Linked DNA regions of Rattus norvegicus. The protein of the gene in region 2 binds, or shares a complex with, the protein of the main gene of each other region. Links are inferred from orthologs where the notes say so. Each region holds a gene or a part of one and is shown on either strand. Other genes may lie near its edges.

Region 1 (7,585 bases), on a different chromosome or scaffold from region 2:
TAAAGTGAAAAAACAAACTGCTAGGCCTCACCTCTGCTTACCAGAACAAGTTAACAAAAGCCACTTCTCTGTGCTGGCTACAGTAATGACGGGGTCCGAGCAGGCTCCCTTTTCTAACTTAGCTTCGAAGATTAAACAAATTTCATTCCTTCCCAACCTGGCCCAGGAGATAAACAGCAGTCACATACACCCTCTCCAAGCCGGTTGGCTTTCTAGAAAGATTCTGAACAGGGCTTTTGGCTTCCCGAAGAAAGAATAGCTGGGGTTAATAATAGCTAGGCCAGGTCTCTGCAGGATCAACTTTGCCTGGGGACTGTTTGAGAGAGTGTGGCCTGTTTTGAATTCCAAAATGAAGTCTACCCAGAGGAGTAGGGGGCTTGTTAATCCAAACCAGTTTACAGATCTTGTCATTGAACTTCGGGGCCAGAGCCAGGAGGATGGGTGTCCCACGCTAGCCGGCTTTCCCAGGGACTTTATGGTTCAGGCTGGTCTTTGTCATCTGGGGCAGTCAAGTCCTCACACGCAGCACCTGGTTTTGCTGTAAATTTTCCTCTGGTGTGGATCCCACTAGGCCTGGCAGACTGCTCGAATTCCAGGGAGAACAACTTACAAGAACAAAAACCAGTTTGGCTGCAGACAGGAGGAGAGAGGCAGTGGATCTGCAAAAGCCTTCAGGGTTGAGGCAGGGGGTCCCCCAAGCAGGCAGGCCTGAGGGAGAATGGCGGAGGTGTGTGGGCAGAGGTGTGTGTGGAAGGCAGCCAGGGGGTCCGGTCTCTGGCACCAACACCAAATGCTCTAAGGGTGACAAGGGGTGGTTTGACAGGAACCAGGACCTTTTCTCATTCGGGGAGCAAAGGGTAAGCGTGAACCTGGCATTCTAAAACTTGTCTATTTCTGACCAGACTACGCTTTCTCAGCAGCCTCAGTGTGGGGATGAGTCTCTGGGGGTCGCTACACCCTTCTTCAACCCAGCTGCCATCCCCAGGTCATAGCAGCAGGAGCAGGAGGCCTATGCCTGTGCTGTGGCCCAGCAGAGATTAAAGATGCACCTACAGGAAGCTCTTAGCAGCTACAGTCTGGGGCTTCCCCTAATTACCTCTAGCTTAGCGAGAGAAGGAGAGAGAGAAAACAAGACCCTATCCCTGGGTCCTGTTAAAAGCCACCCTGCTATCTAATTAGGAGTGATGGTCCAGAAAGCCATGCCTGAGAAAGGACAGTCCCACAAAAGCCCACGGCCAGCCCCACTGATTAAGAGGCTCAGACAAGCCAGGCTTTGTCCTGTCAACATGAAAGAAAGAACGGACTGAAAGAAAGGTGTGTGTGCAGCCAGAGGAAGCCACCCAGCTGTGGCCTCCCCAGCAAGCCCCAGCTTGTACCCGAGGGAGGCCGGGGCTTGGGGGTGGGGAGCAACCGCCCCTGCCAGGTTCCCAGCAGGGCCCTGGGAGCTGCCCTGGAAGCCACCTGGCCCTTTGGGATGAGGGAAGCCAGCTGGGGCCACACGGCCAGACCTGAAACACAGAGACTGGCACCAAAGTCTGGGATTATCTGTTGCAGCTCGATGGACCAGCTCTGAACTGTCAGCTAGGACCCACTCACTGGCTTCCTGGAGATCACACCGGAGAACAGAAGAGGCCATAAGCCCTGACCCTCACCCAGGGCCTTGTTATGCCTGCCTTCAGGATAGGTTCGCAGATCCACGTTGACCACATACTGCTAAGTCTCTATTGAGGAGTCGACTTTAGTTTTTGGTAATAAATCCACATTTTTTTTAAAAAAATGGACGCAGTGAAAGGCGGCCTCCCTCTCCCAGCACACCAAGCCCTACCCCCAGGAAAAATCTCTTTGCAATTGGCCTTTCCTACCTTCAGGGTTTGGAGGCTATCCCAAAGCAGGACCTCTTCTTAACAAGTGTCTGAGGAGAATTTGAATTTGCTCTGTAATATTTTGTCAGCTCTATCACAGGCCTTTACACCCTGACCCTTGCTTGATTCATTATTTGACACTTTTTGATCTTAAATGGAAACAGACAATGGTCTCCCAGAAGCTCCAAGGCCTTTATCTGGAGCTGAGAGGATTAACGTGGACCCTTTCTTCCCGGAGATCCCTTCAGAGCCCCAGGTGCCCAGTGAGAGAGAAAAGGGGGGGGGGGTGGCCTTAAGCTTCATTATTTCCAGGTTGACGGGCGCCCATGGTGTGTTTGGTGTCTTGACTTGGGGTTTTCTCAGCAACTTCCACAAGCAGAAGAAAAGTGACTCAGGAAACAGCACTATCAGGGTGTGTTATCACCAAAGCCAAATATTTGATGGCCAGCCCCACAGCGCACGGTTGGGGGTTAGTTTGAGCAAGTTAGATACTTGTGCGCGCACAGATGCAGGGGGAGCTGTCTCAGACCAGCCGTAACCCAGCCTCGCATCCCTTGGTTGGCTGGAACTACAGTATGGAAACGGTTTCCCCAGCCATTCCATGGCGGCCTCTGTTCCGAGGTCCCCAGCCACCCAATCGCCAAAACCCGTGGTTTGCGCGCCACACGTGATAAACGCTGAAAATGGATTCTGCCCGCCCGGGACCTATCATTAAATATTTAAAATAGAAAACTCGCAATGGCAACGTTCTTTCCCCGGCTCCAGCCGAGAGTCCAAAGGTGGGCGACTGGCGGCTAGGAGAGGAGCCCCGCGACACTCCGAGCGCGCGCCGAGAAGGCGCACCGCAAAGGGACAGGTAGGGCTGGCCAGAGAGGGCAAGGAAAGGGGATGTGCGAGATGCCAGAGCCAAGCTGGGCTCAAAGGGGCGGAGGAAAGGCGGGAAGGCAGCTTTACTCTCAAGGGCCCTTTAAATCCAGGTAGCGCGGGCCGCTGAAGCCGGTTCAGCTCACATGACCCAGCCGGGCGCTTTGAACTAAGCCGCTGCCGGGCCGGGACCTCCCGCCCCTGAGTGAGATGAACGCGCGGCGGAGCAGGCAAAGAGACTCAGGGCAGGTCCTTCCCTCTCGGTACCCCCCACAAACCCTCCGAGCCGGCAAGACTCAAAGACTCACAGAGCTTAAAGTTTACCAAGACCCGGGGGCAAGAGTCTCTGGCCGGCACTGATGCTTTGCAAATGGGAAGGTGGACCACAGTGGTTGAAAGCAGGCACCCTCTCCCTGTCCCAAAGTAGCCCTGGTCTGAGATATATCACCTCCTACCGCCACTCACCTAGGTTGACGAAGCTCATGACCATGTCGGCGTCGGTGAGGAAGTGGCTGTCCTGCAGGCTGGCCAAAGGGGGACCCTGGGTACTGAAGACGGCCTTGTAGGGGTAGGAGAAGCCCTGTCCGTCCGGCCCACTCTCCTCCACCGCCATGGCGTTGTACAGGTCCAACATGAACATGGGCGCCGAATTATGTTTTCCCTGGAGGTGCGGGCGCGGACGATGGGGCAAGCCCAAGATGGACAGGATTTCCCGCTGCATCTCCCGCCGCTCCTGACTGCGGAGGCGCCGGTGGATGAAACTGGAGTGCACCTCGTTGTCCAGGCTGAAGTCGGCCAAGGCAGAGCGCAGCAAGAACAGAGGCGCCCAGAGCGCCACGAAGCTGTGTGGCGCCGCAGCGCGCAGCGAGCGCACGTGCATCGCGCCGGCTCTACGCGCGATCCGGGGCACCGGGCCCGCGCCGCCCCAGGTGGCAGCGGAGGGGGCAGGGCAGCGGTCCACGACCCGAGGTCACTTGCTGCAGACGAGCTTCACCGTGGCCTCGCCACTCATGGCCACTCCCTGGCCCGCTGCGCTCTGCCCGAGACGCCCCAGTCCTCTACTCAGTTCTGGCCCGGGGCCCCTCGGCCCGCACTCGCCAGGACGCACCGCAAGGCTAGCACAGCAACTCCAGAGAGAGAGCAAGAGAGCGAGGAGGCGGGCCGGGGTGGGAGGAGCAGCAGTTTGCAGACCTTCAAGTCCGGAGAGCGAGTGCCGGGGAGGCAGCAGGGCGCTGGGCGAACCCTCGCTCCCTCCTCCCACTCTGCTCGCGCTCGGGCCCGCGGGCACCAGCGGGAAAAAAAAACCCTTCCGATCTCCCGCGCCCCAAACAAGGACCCCAGGTCGCTTCTCCAGTCCTGCGCGCCCCAGATCGCCCGCCAGCCGCCTCGGGAGCCCCGGAATGGGGCGCGCTGGGGCCGAGGAGTGGGGGGAGGAGCAGGAGGACCGACTTCCCCGCCCCTCCCGCTCCCGCGGCCTCCCACCTGCGCCTGTCCCCGCCCTCCCCAAGCCTGGCCCAATGGCTTCATTCATTCCTCCCAGGGCGCTCTACAAATATTTACCGAGTGCCCACCGGGTGTCCGGCACTGGGACGGACGCCTCAGGGGCGCAGAGAGAGGAATCCGAGGCTGCAGCCCTCTAGAGACTCGCACTTGGAAGTGGCCAAAGTGTAGCAACTATAGGCTGTGCTAGGAAAGCATCCCGGAGGGAGCGCAGGAATCCGAGAAGGCTCCTCGGAGGTGGCCACTCTTGGACAAGGCTCATCTTTCGAACCTCCCGAACACTTCATTTGCTCCAGTCAAGCAGAAACACCCGCCCACCCCCGCCCGTACTCCCACCGCCTGCCAGCTTCGGCTGCCCTGGCTTTTGCTCCTCAGGGAAAGTTCTCTCCCTGCCCCTCCCCCTCGGGTGCCACTTCCTCTGGTAACCTTCCAGGACCGAAGATAAAGTGGAGATAAAGTTGTTTCCTCCTACAGACGTTACTTTTATTTTCTGCACTTCACTCCCCAACACACACAAACACACACACACACACACACACACACACACACACACACACACACACACACTGTCATCGTCGTCCTCCTCCTCCTCCACCTACCCCTACTCCTCTTCCCTCATCCTCCTCCCTCCTCCTCCTCAGGTTCAGCACCCAAGGGATCCGGTACAGGTACTTCGAGGCTTTTTTTTCCCCTAGTATTTTTGAACTGCGGATCCCCAGATGTTGCAGCTCTGCAGAGTTCATAAGTGAAATCTGGGACTAGAGAGTGCTCCCACCCCCTCCTCTTGGGGGGGTCCACCCACCCCTTATCCTGGCACAAGGGGCCAAAGCCTTACTGTCTAACAACCCTACCCCCAGCCCCAGGTAGGGCCTGAGGAGTAGGGAGTTGGGCATTGTACCCAAGTTCAGGACAACCCCCCCCCCACACACCCACACTGAATTTTCCTGTCGCAAAGGACTAGCCTCCCTCTCTTCACAGAAAGAAAGGACCCAGACAGATGCTGGAGCTCTCAGTGGATAGCTGCTCTTTAGAGCCTCGGTTTCCATTTCTGAAAAATGGGAGCAAAACAGCATTCACTCAGAATGGCAGTGAGCTGTGGGGTGGTAAGCCAGGCCTCCCTGCTCTGCTGAAGGCGGGCTCCAAGAATATCCATGGGAGTCTGAATTAAAGAGTGGCAAGAGGGGCTTGGGAAGGACCTTGAGTAGAGGGCTCCATCTTGAAGTCCTAGGGTGAAATGGGACAGCCTGGTCTTCCGGGCTTCTGGAAACAGAGATAGCTACCCTAGGGCTCTCTGGGCTCCTTGGGAGGATTTTAGACCATGTGGCTGCCTGAGGGGCCGCAGGGATGGCCCCAAAAGAGACCTGCAGGTCATAGTCCAGGCTGTGGACACCAACAGTACTGTGTCCCCTGCCAGCACAGCTCTGAGAGGCCCCTCCCTGGACCTGCTGTGGCTTGTGAGCTGAGGCCACTCAGGCTGTGAGCTGGAGACATGACCTCCAGTGACCAAGTTACAGTTCTTAATATTGAATAAACAAAGGGGCCCTGCCCTTACTTCGGAAGGCTGTGTGTGGCCTTCTGTGGCCAGCAGGAGTGCCACACATAGGCCAGGCAGGAGGACATCAGAGTGATCAAGCCAGTGTGGCGACCTCCATGACTAGCTGGTTCTCAGGCCCCCGGAAACATCAAGGAGGTCTGGGACAGAAGCATGGCAGTCTTTCCCGTTTCTTCTCTCTGAGAAGCATCAGAGCTCAGGTGGAGGAGGCAGCCAAGAAGGCAGAGATCGGACGCCTTGCTGGGCTTGGGTAGGGGAGGGACATGTGACCCATGGGCGGCCATGACAGGAGAACCACTGTAGTCTCTGTCCGTAAAACAGCACCCTGGGTCACTGCAGTCCCCAGAGAGACTGGGCTTCACAGATGAAATGACAAGCGGGACAGACAGCTTCAGAAGGAAGGACTTTCCTGAAAAGGTTATCAAGAAGAGCCCAGCCAGCAGGTTCCCCCAAAGCAGAATCAAGAGCTACACCAGCCCTGCCCAAGGTCTCTGCCAAAGAAGTCTCTACAGGTTATCTCTTCTAAAGTCTAGACTGACATCAGGTTAAGGTGTGCGGCTCACAGAAGCCTCCTAGTTCAAATCCACCCTCCATCTTTTGGAGCATCTCCCTAGCAAGCAAGGTGGGGGTATCCTGAAGGGAGGTGCAGGTCTGTGTGCTGCTACTTTGCACATGGAAAATACTCATTTGTCACGGGTTCTTCTTGGGTCCTCTACCAAAGACCCATCTCCTAGTGTGTTTCCTACTGGGCTCTCCCCTCCCCTTCTTCCCAACACACACACACACACACAGAGAGAGAGAGAGAGAGAGAGAGAGAGAGAGAGAGAGAGAGAGAGAGAGAGCAGATATCCCCTCACCAAGTACCTATTGGGCGAATGGCAATCAGGCAAACCAAACCTAAAAGGCCAATGTCTGAGGGGCGGACCATGAAAGGCCAACCTCTTCCTTCCCAGGCCCCTCTCCCAGGTCCCCACCTCCCAGAGGCCACCTCTTCTCATTCCTGAGGCTCCAGAGATAAGATTCCCTCTGAACTCCTACCACCCCAATTATCTCTCAGCCAAACCCTGGGGGAGGGAGGTCTCTTCTGCGCTTCCTCCCAGAGGAGTCCCCAAGACCTCACCCAGCTGTTTCCTGAGTGATAGAGCAGACAAGCAGGACAGATTCACCCCTGGAGCACCCAGAGAAGGCTTTGAGGATGCTTGGAGACAACCTGATGGGAAGGAAATGATAGCCTGGATCCTGGGAACCTGGGGCTCCACACTCAGAGCTTCCAGCTGTACATAGTGAAAGTAGAATTGGCGGGCTCCTGCCTTAGTTTTCCTGCCTGTAAAATGGGAGACTGGGATCATCCCATGGTTGCTTGAGGATCCAGGTTCCCCGGGTACAGAGGCTATCCTTGGTAAATGCTAGTTACCATCTGATTAAGACAGAAAACCCACCAAGAAGAAGCTCCTGGGAGTTAAAATGAATTAAATTTCCCACAGCAGCCTGAACAGAGACAGGAGCAAGATAGCCCAGAACAAACAGCCATGGCCTGAGAGGAAAGGAGGACCCCACCCCCCCCACCCTTTGGTCCAGGGACTTCCTGAGTAGCCAGGCCCTGACCCACATCAGCCCCAGCCCCAACAGGTTCCCCACCCCTTCTCGGCCAGGGCACCCAGCACAAGCTCCAGAGTGTAATGTGATCCCCCCAGGCCGCTCCACACCTGGGGTGTCATTGTGTCTGGAAGCTGCTCTCCTGCGGGCCTCCCTGCGCTGGGCAAGGCATTTTCGTCTGGAACACCACCTCTTCATATCCTGCAGAGGC
Region 2 (6,570 bases):
GCATCGGTTCATGGACTCAGGCTGCCGTAGAGGACTCCTGGATCAATTTTCCTCCTCTTAGGAGACAGGCAGTAGGTGCCTCTTTGCTTACAGCTCTCTCCCTTAGAATTATAGTACTATCAACACTAGTCGTAATAGAAGGAGAGAGTGGCCAGGGCATCATCTGCCCAAGCACACACTTTAGTTCCAGGACCAGCGCCTCCTGCCTTCTTCTTGTGGGACCGCCTGCGTCGGGCAGGGTTCTCGGTGCGCGCGCGGAGCCGTCCTGGGCCAGCCCTCCCGGTCTGTCAGTGCGGTGGTCTGTAGCCCGTCACGTCTGCAGCGCGGGTCCTCCCAGCTCACTCTGGCTCCTGGCTCTGAAAGCCGAGAAGCTCGCCGGCTGCGAGCGGGTTTTCCAAGTGGGTAGGGGTGGGGAGGAGGGGCGCGGGCGGGCGGGCCCGCGGCGGGAGGAGGGGGCGTCGCGGAGGGAAGACCTCGCATTGTAATCCAATGACATTACCAACGTGGGGGTGGGGGCGCTGGCCTCCGCGCGCTCTCCGAGTTTTGGCTGCCCGCCCAGCTGGGAATAACTCTCTTCGCATAATTCGCGTGTTTACCAGGCATGAAAATTCTTGCTTTGGGCTCCCCCCCCCCAACCCCGACCCAAGCCCCCTCCTCGTCCCTCCTCCCCACCTCCTCCGCCCCTCGCAAGTGAAACTCTGTCTACAAAAATATTGGCCCGGGGCATAGAAAGTTTTGCATAAATTCATAAGTGATGAATGGCCGATTTTTAACGTTATTTGGGTATTTGTCAGAACTTAACAAATATACGTGTGGACGGCGGTTCATAAACTTAAACATCTCAATATCCTCTTTCTTCTGGAAATAAATTACGTTTGTTTGCCCGGCTTGGAGTCTTAAGGTAGCCGACATTAGGAATATTTTAAAAGCCATCATCCATCGAGCATGTCTCCCAGGCGCCAGAAAGATTAAATGAAAGAATCATAAGATGGAGGTCTTTAACTTTTAATCCTTTTACAATGAAGCCTCAGATAGTCGCGGGGGCAGGGTGCCCTCTCTGGGGGGAATAATGCCGTTATTCCTCGGCTCCCAGTTAATGAATACCCTAACGTCTGTCCCACGGCTGACGGAGGCAGCGCCGGGGAGGGGGCTCCGGCTCCGGGGCCAGGCTATTGAAATGAGGAGCCACCGAGGCTGCGTCGGGAGGGAAGAAAGCGCCCGGCTGGAGGGACAGGGAGGGCGGGGCCCGGGGCATTGAGACTGAGCTGGGGACTCGGTGCAGGTTTGAAATAATTAGCATAGATTCGCTGCGACTCCGGAGGGGGGGCTGGGGGGGGCGGAGGACAGGAGGCCTGGAGGGAGGCGCGACGAGGTGGCAAGGGGGTGGGGAAGGGAGCAAAGGAGGGCGACTGTGGAGTCCAAGATAAATAAAAGGAGCCCGGAGCGGTGTCAGGAAGCCGGCCCACGTGGAGCTGAGTGGATGGCCGCCACTGGGGATTGAGGTGGAGGGATGCACGCGAGAGTCTAAAGCGGGTCCCAAGAAGATGGATTTTTTTTAAGGGTGGGGTACAGTAATATTAACCCGAACATTTAAGGGGTAATTTTGCCTCTATACTAAAGAGCAAAAATCCCATTCTGATTTCACCTCTCTTCTCACCCCCACCCCCCAAGTGGAGTAAGTGTGTGGGGGGGGGTCGCGTTTCTCTGCTCAGTGCAGGTCCCAGAATTGGTGATTTGTACCCAGATTCACATCCCTCTGAAATTTGGGACCTCAGTCTTTCTTAGGTCCTGGAAGAGGCCCAGGTGAGTGTCAAATATCCAAATTATCTCTCCCTAGTCAATTGTAGGCCTGGGACGTGGGGGCTTCAGACCAGAAGTCTCCCTGAGGTTGTATGTAGTAGAATTCAAGGGGTCGCTTTAGCCCCAACCACCATATTTTCCGGGCATGCAAAGGGTTAACAAGGGCTGGATATTGTGGTGGGGGTACAAGGAGGGAGGGGTGGCGGGATCTGGGTGGGCGCGCTCTGACACCCCCCCCCATTCCTCGGGGGTCAAGTTTCAGCGGCACTCCGCCCCCAGGGAAGGTGTGAAAGACACGTGTCCCCATTGTGAAGGGCCTGTCAGCCTGGACAAAGCAGCTACCCCTCCCTCCCCCCCTCATCGGCCCAGCCCGGGGTCAGCTCCAGGGGGCCGGCTGGGTGTCGAGGTCACTACAGGCCTGAGCTTTGGTGTCACGGGGGAGGGTACCCTGGGAGACTCGGTAGAAACCACATGATACTTAAAAGATGGGGTTTGAGAATAACACCCCCGCCACACACACACACTGAAAATTTTACAGTCACCTTCATCACCCCACAGGAGGGGAGTCCAAACGGATGAGCATGTCTCCCAATAGGCGTAGTAAGCGCGGCGACAAACCCCCCCCCCCCATCAATCACCAACACAGTGAATCACAGTGTAGAGCCCAGTCGGTTTTAGTGGTTTTCTTTAATCCTGTTCTGCACTTCTTTCTTATTTACTACACGGGATATTATAAAGAATAAATAGCAGATACTCTTAATTTACAATGATTAGTCATTCCATTTGTTCTCTATATTTACAATAACTGTAAAATAACATTGAACTCTATAACTTCTTCGAGGTCTAAGGAAAATCAAAACATTTTCCGAAGAATGGAAAATAGCTTTTTTAAAAGTCCTTCTACAAAAGTTCCCCCTCTCTTTGTACTTTTAAGAAAAAAATAACTTTTCCCCCCTGCTTCGCCATGCGAAGGGCATTGGGATATAAATAGCAGGTTAACATTATTACCAACAACCAGAATAAGTCTCTCTTTTCTCTGCTCTTTTTTTTTCACTTTGCTTGCTTATTTTTTTTAAATACAGTAGAAGCCGGGTAACTTTTGACGTATAATACTGACCTTTTAATAAGTAAATTAAAACTGGGACCGTATATACACACATATACATTCCTACACAGTTAAACAGTGCATTACATGAACCAGAAAGCCAGGTCTCTGTAGCCAAGAAGAAAAAAAAAGTTCATTGAAAACCCTCGCTAGAGGGTGGTGGAACTGGTTGGAGGCGGTGGGGGTGGGGGGCGTTGGTGGGGATCCATCAAGTGTCTAGGCGCGGGCAGGGGGCCCCGAGTTCTAGCAGGAACACTTACACTCGGAAATGATGGGGTACTGGATGGGAATCCAGCCGCAGCGCTGACCCCCGCGCCGCTGACAGCGCCACCGCAGCACGGTGAGGTGCACAGACTTGGATGGCTTACACACCATGCCCTCAGGCACAGAGCAGGAGCGCTTGCTGAAGCAGCTGCCCACCTTCACGTAGCGCGGCCAAAAACGGCTGCCTAGGTCGTTCCACGCGTACAGCACCGGGCAGAAGGTCTGTGACCACAGCCACATCTGTAACTTCCTCCTCAGCTTCTTGCTCAGGCGCTGCTTCTTGCCTTGGGCCAAGCCCTCGGAGAACTCCAGCCCTTTGATCTCGCTCGGCATGGCCCCCGACGGCCGCTGCCGCAGCAGCTGGTCCAGCTCCGCCAGGTCCTCGGCACCTCCAGCCGGTCCCCCGCCCCCTCCGGGTCGGTCCTCTGGGGGTGAAGTGGCCATAAAACCCGGGTCGTAGTGGCCCCCGAGCAGCGAGCGCAGCAGCGTCTCGTTCAGATCCTTCTCCTTAGGGTCAAAGATAGGGTCTGGATGTTCGATGAGGTCCACCAGGGGCAGGTTGTCGCTGGGTGCTGGGCGGATGTGTAGATAGTGCTGGCCGCCGGCTGGTGCTGCCCGCAGCCCCAGGACCACCACCAGGGCGTAGAGGGTGACCCCCAGGCTGGGGCAGCGCTCCATGCCTCCCGCGCGCGTCCCGGGGCTGCCTCTTCGTCCCGCGTCCCCGGAGGAGAGCACGCCGAGTCCGCGGCGCTGCCGCGCTCCCGGGTCCCTCCGGAGGCGGCTCACCCGAAGCTGGGCTGGCGCAGGGCAGGCAGCATGAGCCGCGAGGAGAAGCGTTCGCGCAGCGCCGGCTCCCGCCGCGGCGCAGAAGACGCGCACGAGTTGGTCACAACTCCCCCCCGCCGCTCTACTTGGGAAGGCGGCCGCGGCCGGGCATCCGAGATTACTCCAGCGCGACCGTGGGGCGCTGGGGGCGCCGGCTCCTCGCTGCTCTCCCCGGCTGCGGGCGGCGCAGGGCGCGTGGACGAGCCTCTTTCCTCCTCCTCCTCCTCTGGCTGCTCGGCGTCCTGCTTCTCTGTGCCCAGCCTCCGGTCGAGCGGGTCCTGGGCCACTTCTCTCCGTCTGCTCCGGGCTGCACAGCCGGCTCTGCCCTGCGGACTCCAGCGGCGGTGGCGGCGGCGGCGTCCGCGCACGTTGGCACCGGTTTGTCTGTCTCGCAGGGTCCAAGCCTTTAAATTTCCTGCACTTTCAGCTCCATCACCATGGAAACCACTGACTCTCTCCGCGTTGCCCCCTCCCCCTTCTTCCCCCCAAACAACAACCCCACCCCCCACTCCTCCACCCGCGAGGAGCCGGAGCCGCACGGGCTCGGGGTTAAGCGACTGCACTGGTCGCCGCGGCGGCGGCGGCGGCTCCGGCAGCGCCCAGGACTGTGCCCCGCCGGACCCAGATGCCCCGGGAAGCCGACAGTCAGGCTGCCCGCCGGAGCTCACAGGCGGCGGCGGCGCGGCAGCGGCGGTGGCGGCGGCGGCGGTGGCGCTTGGCAGGTCTCCGCGCAATTTTCTCTCCCCCCCCCCCCGCCCCGGTTCTCCTCCTCCTACAAAATGCACCGCCCCCCTCCTTTCTCCTGGAGCAATGCAATGGGGCTCTAGGCGCCCCGCCAGGGCCAGTCCCGGGGAAAGCTCGCGGCGGCGCTGGAGCCAGGCTGGAGGGTGCAGGGCTGGAGTTGAGGGGTGTGGGGTTGTCGAGGTGGGGCGGGGGGGGGGTGACTCTCACTAACTGAGTGCTTTGCACCGGGAGAGGAACAGCAGGGAGATGCTGGGGGCTCGGTTTTCAGTGCAGTTCCTAGCAAGAAATTTCTCCATGTGCATGGAGCATTTTCCCGGGTGCGTGTGCGTGTCTTTTTATCGTTCCTCTCGGGATTGGACTAAGTCCCCTCCCCCCAACACACACACACACACACACACACACACACACACACACACACACACACACGCCGCAGGGTTGCGCAGCGTGATGTAATTTCTAGGTAGCACTCCTGTTTCTCTGCCCCTCAGATCCATGAGGCGGGGAGGTGGTCTTCTCACCCTCCTCCTTGGCCTGGTCCTACCGGGTGAGTGGCGGGGAAATAGAGGTACATCCTCCTAGCCTGCGGTTCCCCTAATCCTCGCTGCTTGCTACAACTAGCTCTCACCTCCCTGGGGGCGGCGCGCCCTCTGCTGGCCCTTTGTGATCCCTGCATTTGGTTCTGGCTGAAGTGTGTGTGTGTGTGTGTGTGTGTGTGTGTGTGTGTGTGTGTGTGTGTGTGCGCGCACGCGCGCGCGCAGTGGGGGGAGGGGGTTGCGTCCTGTGGTGCTCAGCTAGGTGGGTTTGTAGGCTGCCCCTCTGTCTGGCCCAATTTCAAATTCTGCATCTGTGCCATAATTGTGGGTACTGACAGGTACTTTATGTTTCTGAATGCTTTCTCATAGATTTCCAGACTTAGTGTAAACAAAAATCCTGAGATTTTTCTCCAAGGTACTTGGATTTCACAAGCACACAGGTTTGCATCATCCGGCTGGGGTAAGTGACCTTAGTGGGCAGAGAGTGGTGACTAGAAAAGGAAAGGTATTCTAGAAGTAAGGTACCCAGGTCTGGATGCCATCCACCCTGGTCCACATCTATGTAGACCTTGGGTAAGTCACTTGTGTGGCACTCAAAATTTTAGTTTTTGGATTAGTGACCTAACTCCAGGTCTTTTTTGAGACCTACCATATCATAGTTCTAACAAACTGAGTTAGGTCACTAATCCAGATTCAGCATCTTTTACCCATCAAAGGGACACTGCTTCTTGAAAAGAAGGAATAACCTCTTTGATGAGAAAGGGGAGCTGAAGTGACCCCTCCCCCTAATTTCCCTTTGTATGAAGAGTTGGGGTCAAGACCAAGCTTGTCCTTTATGGTGATGTGGTTGGTGTCCATCGTAAGGCGGTGGAGGAGAGACACCTGGAGTGAATGTCTCCGGAATTCACACAGGAGTGGGAGTTAGGCAGTCCCAGGGCCACAGCCTCAAACACACCAAGGTCTAGTTTTCCTTTTAGTCCCCTAAGGGGAAAGCACTTGGTTGTATGGCCTTTCTCAGTACCTCAGTAGTAGAGAGGGGTGGCCAGTTTCAGGTGCGAATGCTTCCCGCAACTGTAACATCTGGACAAGTAGAACTAGACTCCGTGGGTTCTGTCTATAACAAGGTCTTGCTTTGATCACCAGTGGAGATGAACAATCATTGGTTTTTAAAAATTGGTCTAGGTCTTAGGGTGAGAGAGATGACTCGGTGGTCAAGGGCACTGAATGTTTTGCAGAAGATCAGGGATCTATTCCCAGCATGGTGGCTCACACCCATGCCTATCTCCAGTTCTAGGACAT
Region 3 (7,526 bases), on a different chromosome or scaffold from region 2:
TGGGACAGACTGTGATTTTTTCCGGAATAAGATAAATGGCATGCCAAAGAGGAAGGAAGAAAAGGCTTAAAACACACAGAATTAAGGTTTAATTTTTAAGTCAACAAAGGAAGTGGTGGGAAAGGGAAACAGGGTCTAGTAGTCACCAGCAACCTGACTAGGTCTCTGTTCTCCTCATCACAGGCCCTATAAGGGGACCTTGTAGGTCCAGGAGGGATTCTCTAACGACCAAGAGAAATGTCCCAAGGTACATGTAAAGAGGACAAAAGCAGCTTGGAGAGGAGTCAAGAGGTATTCAAAGCATCCGCTGACAAACAAGAGACACTGAGAACATCAGTGGCAAGGAACACTGCACACTGAGGAACTGTTTTCCCCACAGGGTCTTTGTGAGCACACTAACACAGCCAGAAGTAGATGGGAGCCTTCCTGGGTGTCTGCATTCAAACCCATGCTGGCATGGTGGATGGACCATGCTTTCTTCATCACAAGACAGAGTTGTGCCTTGAAATGTCCTAGCCTGCGGCTATTTTCTCTCCCTCTTTGAAAACTTTAGTCACAGGGCCACATCGTTTGTTAGTTACAAAAAGAAAAAAGAAAGACTATGTTCTCCATAGTCAGAAGAACCAGCATGAGATCCTTCTGTATATGATCTGCCACTAAAGGGGAAGTCTCTATGGGGCCAATGGAGTCAAGCAATTTCCAACTGTTTTCCAATGGCAGCCAGTTCGGGAAGGTCTTCAGTGACCTTGGGGTGGGAATTCAGCAAAGTCTGGACTCTCCTGGATAAAATCTATGGTAAAATGCTCTTAATGTTCAACAGGAGATTTTGTCTGGAAGAATCTACTGAAAGACTACCATGGTATGTCTTGTCTCATGCCATTCTAGCATTTACGAAGAAGCCTACCAAGTAACACATGGCTTATTAAGGTTTTTCAGTGGCACAAGGATGCTTAGAAAAACTAAACTCTAGGCTACTTAACAATGTGAACAGTCTTCCCATATGCCGTGTATACCTGATGATGACTGAAAAGAAATGGTTTCTGAGATTTATGGTAAAAATCACATCTGATTGCACCAAGATATAAAGTCAGTGCAAGTTTATTTTAAGCAGGTCGATAACTTCTATACAGTTTTACACCAGAAAAACCACTTTTAAAAATACAATTTTTCTTGTGAACGGAAGCTCACTAAGTTTTAAAATAAGACACCTAGATAGCGTTTTGCCTGTGTTTTTATCAAGCCACTTCCAAATGAAGACTGAGAATATGTAGATTTTATTGACAAACCTTACATTCAATTGGATTTTTGAGTTTTAGTTGACTTAAATGATGCTTTTAGCTTAGTTAAGATAAAGATAAAATAACTCGTTCATTTTTTTTTACAGGTAAAGAATAATTTTTTTCACATTAGAAAATACTAATAAATAAACAAATACACGAATAAATTGTTTTCCTGCTCTATCTCCAAAGGCAGTGGGAAAAACAGCTGTGCTGGCTAGTGGTTTTGTTTGTTTGTTTTGATCTACAAAACATTTTCCAATAAATATTAACCCAGAAAGATTAGCTTAGCCCTGGGGACGGGGGCTGGGGGTGTACATTCTGGAATCTCCCTCTCTCAGCAAGCAGACCCTAAGGAGCAGAATAAGGTCTCACTATCTTTCAATACTGAACGTTGTCCCCAGAAAACCTTAGACACCAGTTTCTAGTGCCCTTCATAACCATTGGCTGCCTCAAGGAAGATACACCCCTTGCTATGTGACCTGCCGGTGGCTCTTTTTCCTATTATCAACCAGACTTCTCAAAGTTTGAGTCATCCCTTATTGGGGATGGGGGTTGGGCTGCCATTTCAGAGCATAGATTTCTACTTAAAATGTATCCTCTCAAGAAAGGCAAAGCGAAGCTTTAAAAAGGGAACTTCTCTCCTAGCTCCCCATTGTTCTATAAATTGCAGCTCACTGACAGACAACTCTGAATTCTTCTAGAACTTGAAGGAACTGATATCCTATTGAGATTGCATTAAACCAAAAGCACATTTAAAGTGACACACACGGAATTGAACTGAGGCACGATTATTATTATTATTATTATTATTATTATTATTATTATTATTATTATTTTTACTAACTGCTATAAGGACATTGGCACAAGAGACTTCAATAGGCCTCTACAGCATGTCTTACCCACTAAATCTCCTTCCGAAGAAATAAACATTACTCTACCTTGGGAAACCATACTCATATCGTATTTTTTTAAAAATTCCATTACCTTGTCTAGGAAGGTAGCAGGCAGTGGGAGAAAATGCTTTTATCTGAAGGCTTGACCTGTCTCCACTTGGAGACTTAAGAGTTAAGCAGGAGAAAGGAAGGTCATTGGGGAAACAGTATGATGGATTGTGGAATTGATCTCCCACGGGGATTAGATAGGGATTCAAAAATCTTTCAAACGAGGCCCAGATGAACAGCAAATTTGAATGCTTTGGGGCCCTGGATTTGATTTGTTAATACTACCTCTGCCTAGCTTAAAACTCCAGCCTGAACACAAGCCACAGATCTGAGCTTCCACACAGATTTAAGGAGCCCCAACTCCCTGCCTTCTGTGAAATTCTCCCACAATGAGCTGACAAGGGGCTAGCCAGTCTCTCACCCTCTTCCCCATCACTCGATTTCCCTCCAGTTCTAGTGGGGAGGAGTCTGTCTGCTGGCCACCTGCCAGGAAAAGGGTGCGGACTCACCAGTGGGGAATCCCTGGCTCGGGGCCACAGAGGGGACGGTACAGAAGCCGAAGGACCGTCCACTGTGCTAGCGGAGGCCCGGGCTGCCCACTGAGTCTCCGCCCGCTGTCCCCGCCCCGCCACCCGCCGCCCGCTCACCTTCGTGATGGAAGCTGCGCACGGTGTTGGCGCGGCTGGCTGCCCTCTCCAGCCGGTGGTCTGGGGCGGGCGCTCCTGGCTGGCCCGAGTGCCGGCGGTACAGGTCGAGCATATAGGGGGGCACCACGACGTCCTTGCTGGGGGTGGGTCTCTGCTTCAGGCCAAACATGCTGAGCAGCCTCAACTCAAACTCGCTGAGGACGTCGTCCGAAGGCCGGGACAAGGGGCGGCCGGATGCCCCGGCGAACTTCTTGCGGCCCAGCTCCGGAATGAGGCCGGCCGCGCCGCCCAGGAGGACCTGGGGAAGCAGCAACACTAGAAGACAGCGGGTCCCGGCCACCATGGTCGACCTGCGGACAGGGCCGACGTGAGTCACCCACGTTCCCCGCCCAGTCCTCCGCCCGCCCCCGCGGCCCCGGCTCCCACAGGGCTCGCTGGCCTTCTCCAGGATGCCCTCCTGGCATGTCATCCAAGCTACAGCCTGGATGATCAAGAGGATGAAGAACCCCTAAGTCCCAGCCGGACTTCTCACTTGGGGCTTGGTCTTAACTCCCAATTTAAAAAAGAAAAATCAATGACTGTCTGTCACCTTTTCTTGTGACACTAGCTAGTAAAGCCTGTGTCAGGAAGCTGGGAACCCATAGATTGTTCGGACACTGCATCCCTTACAACTATACTGCACAGCGTTCATTTGCACATAAACAGACACAAATGCACAAGTGACTTCCTTAGAGGCGCCGTATAGAACTTCCTGGTAGATTGTAGATTCAGAAAGCGGTAAACTAAAGATTAATACTAATGACGCCACTTGCAAGTCGTGGCCTACGCCCCTAACTTCAAGGTTGACCCACAGGCCACTCTGTCCCCTTCTCCAGACCCCTGTGCAGTCAAGAAATCCATGCACCTTTCTGCAATGACCTAAATAGATAGTGTCTATAAATGCACGTGTAAGCTGTGACACATCCGCACAGTCAGTAAACACACACAAAAAGAACCCCGACTTTTAGTAGCTTCCTAAATGGGACCTAGTTCTTAAGGATAGCGAAGGATCTCTAAGGCTTGGAGTGCTGGTGGGCAATGAACTAGTGAAATCCACCGGCCATACTCTCTAAATGGATTTCTGCAATTTGGGGGCGGAGGAGGGGGTAAAGCCCAAAACAGCCCTGATAATGTATTTAAAACTGGGGAGGAGGAACGGGCTGAAAGGAGGTCGCAGACCAGGTGGGCAAGACAGAGGGATCTGGGGTTCAGAGTGCCTGACCCCTCTAGGGATCCGCTCGCTGCACGTGCACCGGGAGAGGGTATGTTTACGTCCACTCCACCGGTCCTCCGAGGCGCCCAGCGCCGCCGGGCGGGAAGCGGTGTCACCCGCCAGCCCTGGGTCCGGGCCCGTGTCCTCTACCTTTAGGAGACCGCAGTCCGTCTAAGAAGCACTAGGGGGCACGTCCATTGAGAGAGTCTCCACATGGAAAAAGCTCTGTCCGAGGGACCTGGAGCAGCGACTGGGCTTCTGTTGCCTTTCTTCACCTCCTCCTTCTCCGGGTGTTCTCCCCGAAGGGAACCGTGTCTTGGGGTGGGCCCAGCCGGCCAAGGAACAGAGAGGTGACCGGGCTGGAGGCGGCGGCAAGACTGGATCCGCCGGGCGAGGACACCGGCGCGAAGTGGGGAGCCCAAGTCACTCTCCCGACAAGTTCAAGAAGTCTCCAGCCAAGTGCTGACACACAGCCTCAAGCAGGGGGAGGAGTGCGGGGCAGGGACGGGGAGGGAAGGCTGAGGCAAGGCTGCTGCTGTCGTCTTCCTCAGGGACCAGCGCTGGCGGGGCGCGGGGCCGGCTCCGGGACTCGCCGGGCGAGGGTCGGACGTTCTGCGTTAGCTGGGCCGCGACCCATGGCTCGGGGCAGCCATCGTGGGCGACGCCGGGTCCCGGCAAGGGCGCAGCGAAGATCTGGGTGGCGGGCGGGCCGCCACTCCGCATCCCTCAGCCTGACTCTGGCGCACCCCCATCAGCGCTCGCCAGCGGAACCCGCACGGCTGCGGCGTCCCGGCGTCCTGGGGCTCATTCTCGAGACAGTCCAGCCGCGCGTCCCCGGCTGCCAAACCGGGTGACCTCACGCTCCGAGCCCTCGGGCCAAGTGTCTTTTGTGGCAGCCTGGGGTCCGATCACTCTTCCTGCTCGCCTCGGGCGCTCACTCTCGTGTCGGAGTAGCCCAGCGTTGAGGGTAAGACTGTGCTCCGGACTCCCGGCTCTTAGCGTCGGTCCGCGACTCTGGCTTCTCCCGGACAGCTGAGGCCACAGAGCCGGGCGCGCACAGTTCGCAGCTCCAACCGGTGTCGTGCCGGCCCCTCGAAGCCCCGGGTGACCCTCGCGTCGCTCGCCCTGAGGGCGTCCGATGGCCGGTGTGGGCTAGGGAGGCTTCGTCCCGAGCTGCCAATCCCGGGCGGGCTGTGGGAAGCGCAGCGGCGGGCGCAGTGCGAGCCGGGCTCTGCGCGGCAGGGCGAGGACTCCGGCGGCGACGACGGAGGCGCCGTGGCGCGGCGCTCGCGGCTTTTAAAGGAGACGCCGCCTGCCGGCTCCCTCCCGGCCGTGGCCGAACACCTCCCCCTCGGAGGCGCAGCGCGCTGGGGATCCCCGGGCGGGCGGGAGCAGCGCGCAGGGGTGTGGACGGCGCGCCCTGAGGGGCGGCCGCGGCGGGGCGGGGCGGGGCGAGCGCGCGGCCGCTAAGGGGTCGCGTCCCGGCTGAGTGTAAAGCAGACCCCCGGGACCAGGATTCGTGCCCCAGATGCCCGAGTTTAGGGCAAATTCAGGGTAGGCTTGCCTCTGAGTTCCCCCACTGGGCCAATATTCAACTTGAGTTTGAAGTTTTTAGGTAAGATCACATTAAAAAGAAGAACCTAGAAGTTATCAGACATGTTGGCAAAGATGTGAGCAAACGCTTCTCTGTTTTGAATGGTGAGAAGAAAATGTCAAGAAATAGCCAATACACATTCGAGTGTATTATTACATTTTATAAATATTCATACATTTATATGCGCCCATGTGCATATATAGTCAAATAAATGAATCTAATAAAAGATGTATATACATATATGTATTCATTTATGTAAATTATAAAAATGAGGGTACAGGTTCTGTACATAGATATACACATGTAAAGTGGATGTCCCCTCTAGTGTTTGTGTGTGTGTGTGTGTGTGTGTGTGTCTGTCTGTCTGTCCATGTGAGGGGACAATGGGAGTTAATAGAAGTTCTCTTTATAGAAACAATCACTTCCATACTTGGGCTATTTATCTCCCCTCCCCCACCCACCTACACCAGAGGCAGGTAACAAGACATTTCTGGTTTGAGACTTTTGAATTTTCTGTCTGGCCCTCTCCACTAGGTCTCCAGAAGCAAGACTCTGACTGTGGCTAAGCCACTTTTCTTCCTCAGCTGGAATGTCCCCAAAGCTGCTGATCCAGGATTCGTTTTGAACTCTTTCCACTTCTCCCTCATTTCAGGAGCCTTCATACATACTACCACCTTGTTGCCCACATGACCCCCAAAGCTATGGGCAGAACATTTCTGTGGAAGACCAGATTGGTAATACCAGGTTCTGAATCAGATCTTTCAAGTTTGCAAAGCAAAGACAGAGAAAAACCAGAAGGAGGGGCTTTAATAATCTATTATCCGTGTGTATTAGCTTTTCAGTTGGGAAGCTAAAATAACTCTAGGTTCTGCTCACCTAAATCAGATTAGCAACCCACAGAGGGAAATTAGGCCCTGGCTGTTTCTAGAGCTGTAAAGGGCAAATAAGGTACTTTGAAGGAAGGCTGCCTACTAGGAAAATTAAAGGAGAAGGAATAGATTCAGCAATCTGCAATCAGTTACTGTATTCCTTCTTAAGATGTGTTGTAGAAATTGTCACTCTAAATCGTGAGAGACCAAACAAGAAGGCAATAAAACACTCCACTCAGACATGTAAGCCAAAAGTGCTGATCGCTTCTGAAGCCATTTCCTTCCCTATCAAGTTTAATTGAGAAGTTAACAATTGCTTCTGTCATCGGGAAGACTTGTGGAGCAAAGCAAAACCTCCAAACATATATGAGATTTAAATCAGAAAGTTGCCTTTAATGAGGAAGAGAAAGTTGACAGCTGTTGGACCCACCCCAAGAAAAGATGAAAATGAAACCTTTGGGGATGACATCAACAATGCCGTGTAGCTTTGGGCCTTTGGAACTCCAGAAGCGGGAGTTTGGCCATTTATGATATCCTTAGTAATCAAGACTCTGAGATAAAATGGATGCCTCCGGACAGTTACTCCACCTTGGTGGTGCCTGGCGGCTTCTTTTTTGTAGGACATGCAACGGGAGAGGGGAGGTGCAGGCAGTTAAAAGCCTTTCCCAGGAACTTTCCTGAAGTTTGGCCCAATTTCTCTGAAGAGCACAACTGTTGTTTTTTAGAGATGGCTGCCCTCTTGTGGTGGAAATGAGCGTAAACGCATGGGACCCAGAAGTGGATCCAGTTTGAAAGAATTCTCTGTTCTTTGGAATACAAAATAGACGGTCATGGTCAGTCCGTTCTTCATGAAATAGAAATCGTAGAGAAGAAACAAATACAAAGGCGTTGCTTTTTTACTCTCTATGCTTCTTTACTCTCTATCCTTCCACCCACAACTAAG

What was found.
Region 1: the proteins of Nog (region 2) and Bmp7 are in contact, whole or in part, in a crystal structure (PDB 1M4U), measured with the Homo sapiens proteins. The link is inferred for Rattus norvegicus from reciprocal best matches to the Homo sapiens genes NOG and BMP7. Residues at the interface, in NP_005441.1 of Homo sapiens: His29, Tyr30, Leu31, His32, Ile33, Arg34, Pro35, Ala36; in NP_001710.1 of Homo sapiens: Phe365, Pro366, Leu367, Asn368, Ser369, Asn375, Ile378, Val379.
Region 3: the proteins of Nog (region 2) and Bmp2 are in contact, whole or in part, in a crystal structure (PDB 7AG0), measured with the Homo sapiens proteins. The link is inferred for Rattus norvegicus from reciprocal best matches to the Homo sapiens genes NOG and BMP2. Residues at the interface, in NP_005441.1 of Homo sapiens: Ile33, Arg34, Pro35, Ala36, Pro37, Ser38, Asp39, Asn40, Pro42, Leu43, Val44, Asp45, Leu46, Ile47, His49, His199, Arg204, Arg206, Pro219, Ile220, Gln221, Tyr222, Pro223; in NP_001191.1 of Homo sapiens: Trp310, Asp312, Trp313, Val315, Ala316, Pro317, Pro318, Gly319, Tyr320, Ala368, Ile369, Ser370, Met371, Leu372, Tyr373, Lys379, Val380, Val381, Leu382, Lys383, Asn384, Tyr385, Gln386, Met388.

What each region holds. Positions count from the first base shown.
Region 1 is NC_086021.1:182,131,117-182,138,701, forward strand, and holds the start of Bmp7 (bone morphogenetic protein 7 precursor), read right to left. Parts: upstream 4,031-7,585; 5' UTR 3,607-4,030; coding exon 3,192-3,606; intron 1-3,191. UniProt on the Homo sapiens protein: Growth factor of the TGF-beta superfamily that plays important role in various biological processes, including embryogenesis, hematopoiesis, neurogenesis and skeletal morphogenesis.
Region 2 is NC_086028.1:74,623,406-74,629,975, forward strand, and holds Nog (noggin precursor), read right to left. Parts: upstream 3,848-6,570; coding exon 3,149-3,847; 3' UTR 2,469-3,148; downstream 1-2,468. Other genes in the region: Nogl1 (proline-rich protein 36-like), read left to right, coding at 323-398, 3,428-3,547, 3,758-4,716, 5,641-5,659. UniProt on the Homo sapiens protein: Inhibitor of bone morphogenetic proteins (BMP) signaling which is required for growth and patterning of the neural tube and somite. Essential for cartilage morphogenesis and joint formation.
Region 3 is NC_086021.1:141,262,512-141,270,037, reverse strand, and holds the start of Bmp2 (bone morphogenetic protein 2 precursor), read right to left. Parts: upstream 4,515-7,526; 5' UTR 4,271-4,514; intron 3,219-4,270; 5' UTR 3,212-3,218; coding exon 2,869-3,211; intron 1-2,868. UniProt on the Homo sapiens protein: Growth factor of the TGF-beta superfamily that plays essential roles in many developmental processes, including cardiogenesis, neurogenesis, and osteogenesis. Induces cartilage and bone formation.